Tribolium castaneum: one gene and its partner. Each later gene encodes a partner of the first gene's protein in a complex. Links are inferred from orthologs where the notes say so. Each region holds a gene or a part of one and is shown on either strand. Other genes may lie near its edges.

What was found.
Region 2: the proteins of protein suppressor of forked (region 1) and CstF50 are in contact, whole or in part, in a crystal structure (PDB 6B3X), measured with the Homo sapiens proteins. The link is inferred for Tribolium castaneum from reciprocal best matches to the Homo sapiens genes CSTF3 and CSTF1. Residues at the interface, in NP_001317.1 of Homo sapiens: Tyr581, Pro582, Lys583, Pro584, Asp585, Thr586, Gln588, Met589, Ile590, Pro591, Phe592, Pro594; in NP_001028693.1 of Homo sapiens: Arg118, Glu216, Ala217, His226, Pro227, Ser228, Asp230, Phe231, Thr240, Arg242, Leu243, Tyr244, Cys251, Phe252, Val253, Ser254, Cys255, Tyr270, Ser272, Ser273, Ala274, Asn275, Gly291, Val292, Ser293, Asn294.

The regions. Positions count from the first base shown.
Region 1 is NC_087401.1:11,673,911-11,677,335, reverse strand, and holds the end of protein suppressor of forked, read left to right. Parts: intron 1-536; coding exon 537-728; intron 729-783; coding exon 784-975; intron 976-1,024; coding exon 1,025-1,341; intron 1,342-1,394; coding exon 1,395-1,589; intron 1,590-1,642; coding exon 1,643-1,803; intron 1,804-1,891; coding exon 1,892-2,232; 3' UTR 2,233-2,296; downstream 2,297-3,425. Other genes in the region: nuclear speckle splicing regulatory protein 1, read right to left, coding at 2,361-3,324, 3,383-3,393. UniProt on the Homo sapiens protein: One of the multiple factors required for polyadenylation and 3'-end cleavage of mammalian pre-mRNAs.
Region 2 is NC_087398.1:3,467,512-3,472,552, forward strand, and holds CstF50 (cleavage stimulation factor subunit 1), read left to right. Parts: upstream 1-2,467; 5' UTR 2,468-2,593; coding exon 2,594-2,679; intron 2,680-2,726; coding exon 2,727-3,303; intron 3,304-3,360; coding exon 3,361-4,011; 3' UTR 4,012-4,173; downstream 4,174-5,041. Other genes in the region: Pink1 (serine/threonine-protein kinase Pink1, mitochondrial), read left to right, coding at 1-484, 538-636, 689-895; zinc finger protein 346, read right to left, coding at 1,128-1,270, 1,314-1,485, 1,529-1,600; TM9SF4 (transmembrane 9 superfamily member 4), read left to right, coding at 4,343-4,354, 4,402-4,790, 4,843-4,998. UniProt on the Homo sapiens protein: One of the multiple factors required for polyadenylation and 3'-end cleavage of mammalian pre-mRNAs. May be responsible for the interaction of CSTF with other factors to form a stable complex on the pre-mRNA.

The sequences.
Region 1 (3,425 bases):
AAATCTGCGTTTGCTAAAAATGCTTATTATTTTTTCTATGCATATGAATTTCTTCAGATTGTTTGTACAGTTCCTTATAACAATTATTATCAATGAATTGAAAATATTAATAGTAATATTAAAATTAAAAATATAAAAAATAATATAAAACTAAAAAATATCCCTAAACAACTCCTACTCATAAACGTTAATAAACGTATTATAAACGTAAAGTATAAAAAAATATCATTAATATTTGTTTAAAATTTCAAGAAAAAAATGTCAAATATTTTTTTAAGTGTTACGTTGGCACAAATTCTAATTGTTTAAACGACCCAATTTCATTATCAATTAAAAAATTAAAAACAGAAAAATAATTTCCATTGTACTTTTTTTAACTCTGCCTTAAAAACAGATGCTGTCTGTATTTCGTCACATATTATTAATATTCTTGCCTTAAAATAAGTAGTAAAGGACTTTTTCGTTTTAATGTTAGGCAGATTGTAAAGTAGAAAAATTTTACTCGTTACTTTTGCTGTTAAAAAAAATTCTTTCAGGTCGAGCTGTGGCAGAAATATATCGCGTGGGAGAAGAGCAATCCGCTTCGCACCGAAGACACGGCCCTCTTGACCAAACGAGTGGTCTTCGCCCTTGAGCAATGCCTACTTTGTTTGGGACACCACCCTGATATTTGGTACCAAGCGGCACAGTTTCTCGAATACAGTTGTAAAATTCTAGCCGAGAAAGGGGTACTAATTAATTTTGGCGCCAAACTTAAATTTGTTTATTTTTTGGTGGTTTTAGGACGTCAACGCTTCGAAATTATTTAGCGAAGAGGCGGCAAATATGTTCGAGAGGGCGACGAGCTCGCTCTTGAACAAAAACATGCTACTTTACTTCGCCTACGCTGATTACGAGGAAGGGCGTTTGAAATACGAAAAAGTCCACCAGATTTACCAAAAGTACCTTGAAATTCAAGATATCGACCCGACACTTGTACCAATACAACAAACAAAAAAAACGGTGTTTTTATCGTAATTTTTAGGCGTACATCCAGTATATGAAATTCGCCAGACGGGCCGAAGGGATCAAGTCGGCTCGGGCCGTTTTCAAAAGAGCGCGCGAAGACAATCGCTCCAAGTACCACATTTTCGTCTGCGCCGCCTTGATGGAGTACTATTGCAGTAAAGACAAAAACATCGCGTTTCGAATTTTCGAACTGGGTTTGAAAAAATTCGGGGATATCCCCGAATATATCACGTGTTACATCGACTATTTGTCACACTTGAACGAAGACAACAACACGCGAGTGCTATTCGAGCGCGTCCTGTCATCTGGAAGTCTAGAACCGGAAAAATCCGTGTACGACATTGGTATTTTTCACGACCAATTGACGAAACAAATTTCATTTTTAGTGACATTTGGAACCGTTTTCTGGAATTCGAGTGCAATATCGGGGATTTACAGAGTATTGTCAAAGTTGAGAAAAGACGATCGGAAGTCTTGTCAAAAATTAAAGAATTTGAAGGCAAAGAAACGGCACAATTGGTCGACAGATACAAATTTTTAGATTTGTATCCCTGCACGGCCACGGAACTCAAAAGTATAGGGTGAGAACAACTGTGAGATTAAGTTGGCAGCACTTATTTTTATTTTATATCAGGTATACAGAAGTGATCAACATAACGGGGGCGGGGCGCAACCACATTTTACAGTCGATAATCAACCTCGACGGCGACGCCCCCTTGCCCCTGCCCGACTACTCACAAATGATCCCCTACAAGCCCAAGTCCAACCCCCTTCCGGGCGAGCATCCGGTCCCCGGTACGTATAATTTTTTTGCCAACGCGATAACCAAAGTTTTTTAATTTTTTGACCAACGCGGTAACCAAATTTTTTCATTTTTTCCCAGGCGGTGCGTTCCCCCACCCTCCGGTGGCGGCGTACCTGTGCACGCTTCTGCCGCCCCCGGCATGTTTCCGGGGGCCTTTCGTCAACGTGGACCTCCTCATGGACATTTTCAACCGGATCCAGTTACCGGATTCGCCCCCGCAGCCGTCGGAAAATGGGGGCGATGTGAGGCTTTTTGATTTGGCAAAATCCGTTCATTGGATCGTCGAGGAAGGGGGCGGAGTCGGGATTAAGAGGAAGAAGAGACTGGGATTGGCTATGGATGGGTCAGATGATGAGGATTTGCCGCTGCCGCCGACCAATGATATTTACAGGCAGCGGCAACAGAAGCGTGTGAAATGATTTAATTGTGCTTTGTTCATTGTGACTTGTTTAAGTATAGAATAAATTGATTTCATTAGGATTATTCTGGTGTTTGATTTTACGGCGCCCACCGGGGAACCAAATTTTATTTATTACAAAACTCAAAATTATAGTTCCCTTAACGACTTTCTTTCAAAATACCTCCGCAAGGCGGCGTCAAACACTTCCCCAACTGTCCTTTTTTTCCAAATGTCAATTTTCGGTTTTTTGGGTGGGGGTTCAGGTGCTTGTTCCGGTTGTTTTTCTTCTTCTTTTTCCTCCTTGATTTCTTGTTTCTTCTCTTCCACTTTCTCCACCGTCACTTTTTTCTCAGTTTCTTCCTCACTGTCGGAAGAATCGATGCTGAAGTCAGAATCGGCGTCTAGATTCGAAGGGAGATGTTCTTTCTTCACTTCTGTTTCTTCCTCCTTTTCGCTCTTATCCGATTGTGAGTCTGAACTGTGGCGTTTTCTGTATTTCCTCTTACTTGGCTTATCTTCTACTGTTTCTTCTTGTTTCTTATCTTTTGTTTTTTCTTCTTGTTCCTTATCTTTTGTTGTTTCTTCAAAATTTACTTTCTGGTCGTACAAATGGCGGTAAAACCCGTCCAAATTCCCCTGTTTCGTCACGTCTCCAATCGATTCCAAATACTCCTCCCTCCTTTCCAATTCCTCCATCTCTTTCATTTCCTCCAATTTCTTCTTGTAACTACTAGTGACGAACGCCTCCTTATCTTTAAATTCGTCACCTTCCGTCTCCCTTTCTTTCTGTACTTGGCGTTCAATGCGCCTTTCATTCTCTTTTTTGCGTCGATCAGCAGCAGCAAGCAATTTATTTATGTATTTGGGCTTCCTGTCCAGATCTTTCCTACTCAATTTTGACTCCTTACGTTTCTTGTCCATTTCGTCGTAAATCTCGTCATACTGGAACACTGTTGGGTCTTCCTCAACTGCCCGATTTTGCAAAATTTTGTCTTGTTTTTTAAGCGATTTTTTGGCCCCCGTGGGGACTGACTCCTCCTCATCGGACTCATCGAAAATTGCGGGGCGTTTAATCACTGCCTTGTCCTTGTTTGGGACGATTAAACCATACCTAGCCAGAAAGGCACGCAAAAATCACAATTTTATTCAAAAAACTTGCAAAAACTTACTGTTTTGACATTGTCGTTAGTTTGACGTTTTGAGGTTAGACAA
Region 2 (5,041 bases), on another chromosome or scaffold:
TCCATCAACCCGCACATCGCTCCTCCTACTCGCCCAGTTGCTAGAAGGCGTGGCTCATATGACAGCTCACGGCATAGCACACCGCGACCTCAAATCCGATAATTTGTTACTCGACACCAGCGAACCCGAAAGCCCCATTTTAGTCATCAGCGACTTTGGGTGTTGTCTTGCTGATAAAACCAACGGGTTGTCGCTCCCTTACACGAGCTATGAGATGGATAAGGGTGGCAACACTGCATTGATGGCCCCCGAAATTATTTGCCAAAAACCGGGCACTTTCAGCGTCTTGAATTATTCCAAAGCCGACTTGTGGGCCGTAGGAGCCATAGCTTACGAGATTTTCAACTGTCATAACCCATTTTATGGCCCAAGTCGGTTGAAAAACTTTAATTACAAGGAGGGGGATTTACCGAAATTGCCCGACGAGGTGCCAACTGTGATTCAAGCCTTGGTGGCCAATCTCCTGAAGCGCAATCCCAATAAGGTTGGTAATGATTTTTTTGTTTTTCATTAAGGGTAAATTATTTTTCAAAATAGCGTCTCGATCCGGAAGTTGCGGCCAACGTTTGTCAGTTGTTTTTGTGGGCACCTAGCACGTGGCTAAAGCCGGGCTTGAAAGTACCAACAAGTGGCGAGGTGATTGTCTTTTGTTTAGGTAAAATAGCAATCGTCATTCGTTTGTTTTTAGATTTTGCAGTGGTTGTTGAGTTTGACGACGAAGGTTTTGTGCGAGGGCAAAATCAATAATAAGAGTTTTGGGGAGAAATTTACAAGGAATTGGAGGAGGACGTATCCCGAGTATTTGTTGATTTCTAGTTTTTTGTGTAGAGCTAAGTTAGCAAATGTTAGAAATGCGCTTCACTGGATTCAGGAAAATCTTCCCGAACTTGATTAAACTTAAGGCTATTTATTGCGAGGTCGAGGGCTGTTTTAGTTAGACACATGAGACTGCTAGATTGTGATTATGGTTAGTGTTTCTTTCTATAGATTCGGTTTTATAGAAATAAAAACACTTGATTTGTACATTACTGCTATTACTCACTGAAATATATATTTGGGTTTAAGAAAAGTCGTTTCAATCGTTCAACAATTTAATGGTAATAGAAATTTGGTAACAATGAACAAAATTACTGGCAAATCACTTTAAACAACAACAATAAGTTAATAAAAATACAAACGACACAGAAGAGTAAGATCCACAAGCCAGCGGTTCCTGTCGCGTCCGAAATGAAGTTTTCTTTTTTCATCAGCTTGTTCTTGTGTTTGATGCCTGTAACGTCTCTCATCATTTCGAAACTCAACATTTGACTTACTGTTCAAGTGGATGTTTAGCTGAATTTCGCTGTTTGCGACGACATCGCACAATTCACAAACGAATGTTTTTCCTTGTCTCTCTTCCTTCATTTTGTGCCTTCGCCCTTCCAAATGGCGCTGAAGGATCTTCACACTGGTGACTTTAACATTACATAATTCGCACGAAAGGGCCTAAAAAATCAATCACTAATTTGCTTCCCTCAAACTGGCTCACATTTTTATCGCTGTTTTCTTCATTTTTCTCGTTTAATTGCACTTCTTCGATCGAATTATGGAATTCGGACATTTTCGCACGTTCGCATGCCGCCGCAAACGCTATCACCTGACTTTTTCAAACTTTTTTTCCGACTTTATCTTCCTCGACCTCGTCAGTGTTTCAAAGCCGGTCAAGATGAACGCAGGTCTTTACGCCGACGGTGCTCAAGTCCAAAATTTCCATTTTGACGATCCTCTCAGTCGAGAATTGTTCGATTTTGAGATTCTCTGCGCCCACGGCAGTGTGTGCGTTCATAAACTTATTTTAATGACCCGAAGCCTCTATTTTCGCCAGTTGTTGGAGAACCAGGTAGCCATCAGGGAAATTACTTTAGAAGAGTTCAGCCAGGATGTGATGAGAAAAGTCGTACGCCTGATCTACGGAGATATTGTGAGGGTCCCTGAACTGCAAGTCGAAGAGTTTGTGAAGATTTTGCACTTTTTGAGAGTCGATTATTGGGCCAAGTTCAACAGATTGTTGATGGATGGGGGCGATTTAGGTGAGAAACGACAAAAAACGGAAATTTTATCTAAATTTAAAAGTTTCAGCTGCCATGGCTTCGACTCCGGACATCTCCACTGAAACGGAACCCTCAACTACGGACGACCTGGGCAGCAGGAGGTCCGGAGACGGCGATTCCATGGCTCTTACTGAATAACGATTTTTGTGCCTATCGAGTTTTTCAATAAAGGTTTCGAATTCAGCATTTCAGTCGTAGTTTTTTTACGTTCCTTCTTTCATTGAAAAAATTCAAGGCTAATTTTAAATTGCCTCCTTTTTGCCAACGCAAAAAATATCCCTAAAGAAATTTTCACAAATAATTTGTTGCCTTCCAAGCAACTAAATCAAGGTAAATAGTAATACGTTACATTCCAAATACTCGAATTTAATTTTTTTATCGAGTTTTGGTCAAAAAAAATAATTTTTTACTACAGCAAACTACCAATGTAACAAATCCGAAACCTCTAGATTTGTTTGGGTCGCATTTGTTGTTAAAGGGAATATTTAAAAAACCTCAATAAAATGACTAACTCAAGCATTAAGGACGAAGACGTGGACACGACGAACCTCCTCAAGAGTCGCGAGTTCCTCTACCGCCTCATTATTAGGTAAAACACCCAAAACCGGCAACCTAACCTAAATTTTTCCCTTCAAGCCAACTCTTCTATGACGGCCACCAAAGCATCGGCACTAATCTCACGGCCGCAGTCCAAGCGGACCCTCCGTGTGCCCCCAGTGACCGTCTTTTTCATATTGTCATGGCCGGGTTAGAACATGAGCCTGACCGTAAGGAGAGACCCCAAAACCCCGGCATAGGGAACAATAATATCGGTCCGGGGCTTGATCTCGAATTTGAGACTGAGTCAAATATCCCAGCGCCCGAACCCGCATTGTATGAAACTGCGTACGTGACGTCACATAAAGGGAATTGTCGTGCTGGGTGTTTTTCAAGTGATGGGCAATTAATTGCAACAGGGAGTGTGGACGCTAGTATTAAGATTCTGGATGTTGATAGAATGTTGGCCAAGTCGGCGCCGGACGAGATGGATCCCTCAAGGGGCGAACAACAGGGGCATCCTGTCATTAGGACGCTGTATGACCACATGGAGGAGGTCACTTGTCTGGAGTTCCACCCTAAGGAGCCCATTTTGGTGTCAGGGTCGAAGGACAACACGATTAAGATGTTTGATATCTCGAAAGCCAGCGTCAAGAAGGCGTTTAAAACAATATCTGTACGTTAAAAATTCAGGATCAAGCACCCTTTTTTAATAAAAATAAAATATTTCCAGGAGTCGGAACCAATCAGAGCCATGTCTTTCCACCCCGGGGGCGACCACATGATCGTCGCCACCAACCACCCCGTCGTCCGACTGTATGACGTCAATACCCTCCAATGCTACGTCTGTGCTTTCCCCTCCCACCAACACACCCAGAGCGTCACTTGTCTCAAATGGTCGCAAGACGCGCGAGTTTTTGCCACTTGTAGCAAAGACGGCAATATTAAACTTTGGGACGCGGTCTCGAACCGTTGCATAAACACGTTTCAGAAAGCACACGACGGACTTGAAGTCTGTTCGGTCGTATTTTCGAAAAACGGCAAATATTTGTTATCGTCGGGGAAAAACTCAATTTGCAAATTGTGGGAACTGACAACAAGCCGGTGTTTGATTGCTTATACGGGAGCTGGGACGACCGGAAAGCAGGAATATGAGGCTCAGGCTGTTTTTAATCACACTGAGGATTACGTCCTGTTTCCTGACGAGGCAACGACGTCTTTGTGTGCCTGGAATTCGAGGAATGCTTCAAGGAAGCAGTTGATGTCTTTGGGACACAATGGGGCGGTTAGACTCATAGCGCACAGCCCCACGCAGGCCGCCTTTCTGACCTGCTCGGACGATTTTCGGGCCAGGTTTTGGTACAGAAGAACCCCAACATTATAAAAAGTGTTACTTTCTTGTATAGGCAACCAATAATGCGCGGGCATTTTTTATTTTAATCTTATTTTTTAATTATAACTAATTAAGGCTGCGCGTAACATTACGTTCCATGTTGTGAGACAACAATTTGCGGCAATTTTTGTGTTAATAAAGAGATAAAAAGGATGATTTTGTTTGTGTGGGCAACCAGTTGTGCAGTTGACGTTTGTCACAACTTTTGGTGGTTGATTGGCGTTAATGGCACGGTTTTAAATTGATTAACAATGATTATTACACTATTTTAGCATTTCAGACGTTGAGAATTACCACATTTCACCGGTTACGTGGCGCCAAAATGAATTGCACGGTATTTGGGTGGTAGTTTAGTGACGTGACCTAACCTTACTTTTTTAGCAATTTTTTCTGTTTGTGATAAGTTTCTGTGTTTCGAGATGTTATTCGTTTTATGTTCCGGGGATGGCACCGGCTGATTTCAAAGCCGGTGATCCGATCGAAGTCAAGGCTGTGAAAATGACGAGTATCCACACGCAATTGCCGTACGAGTATTACTCTCTTCCGTTTTGTTTACCTAAAGGTGGTCTAAACGCGATACACTACAAATCGGAGAACCTCGGGGAAGTACTAAGGGGTGACAGGATTGTCAACACGCCGTACGACGTGAAAATGGCAGTGAATACGCCCTGTACGCTGTTGTGTAATACCCCCAAAAATCCGATTAATTGGAGCGTGGGGGAGTCCCAGATTGTGGTGGATCGGATCCAACACGAGTACTTCGTGCATTTGTACGTCCGCACTAATTTTTTCTATGACTGTGTTCCTAAAACGTGTTTCCAGACTAGTGGACAATCTCCCGGCTGCTACGCCTGTTTTGAACCCCGAGACGAACGAAATCCAGTACGAGCACGGCTACAGGCTGGGTAATTCGGTCGGTGATCGCAACTACATCAACAATCACCTCAAGCTCACCCTTTTGTACCACAACCCGACCCCGTGAGTAATCATCAGGGGTAATTGTCCAATTATAGGCAATGTA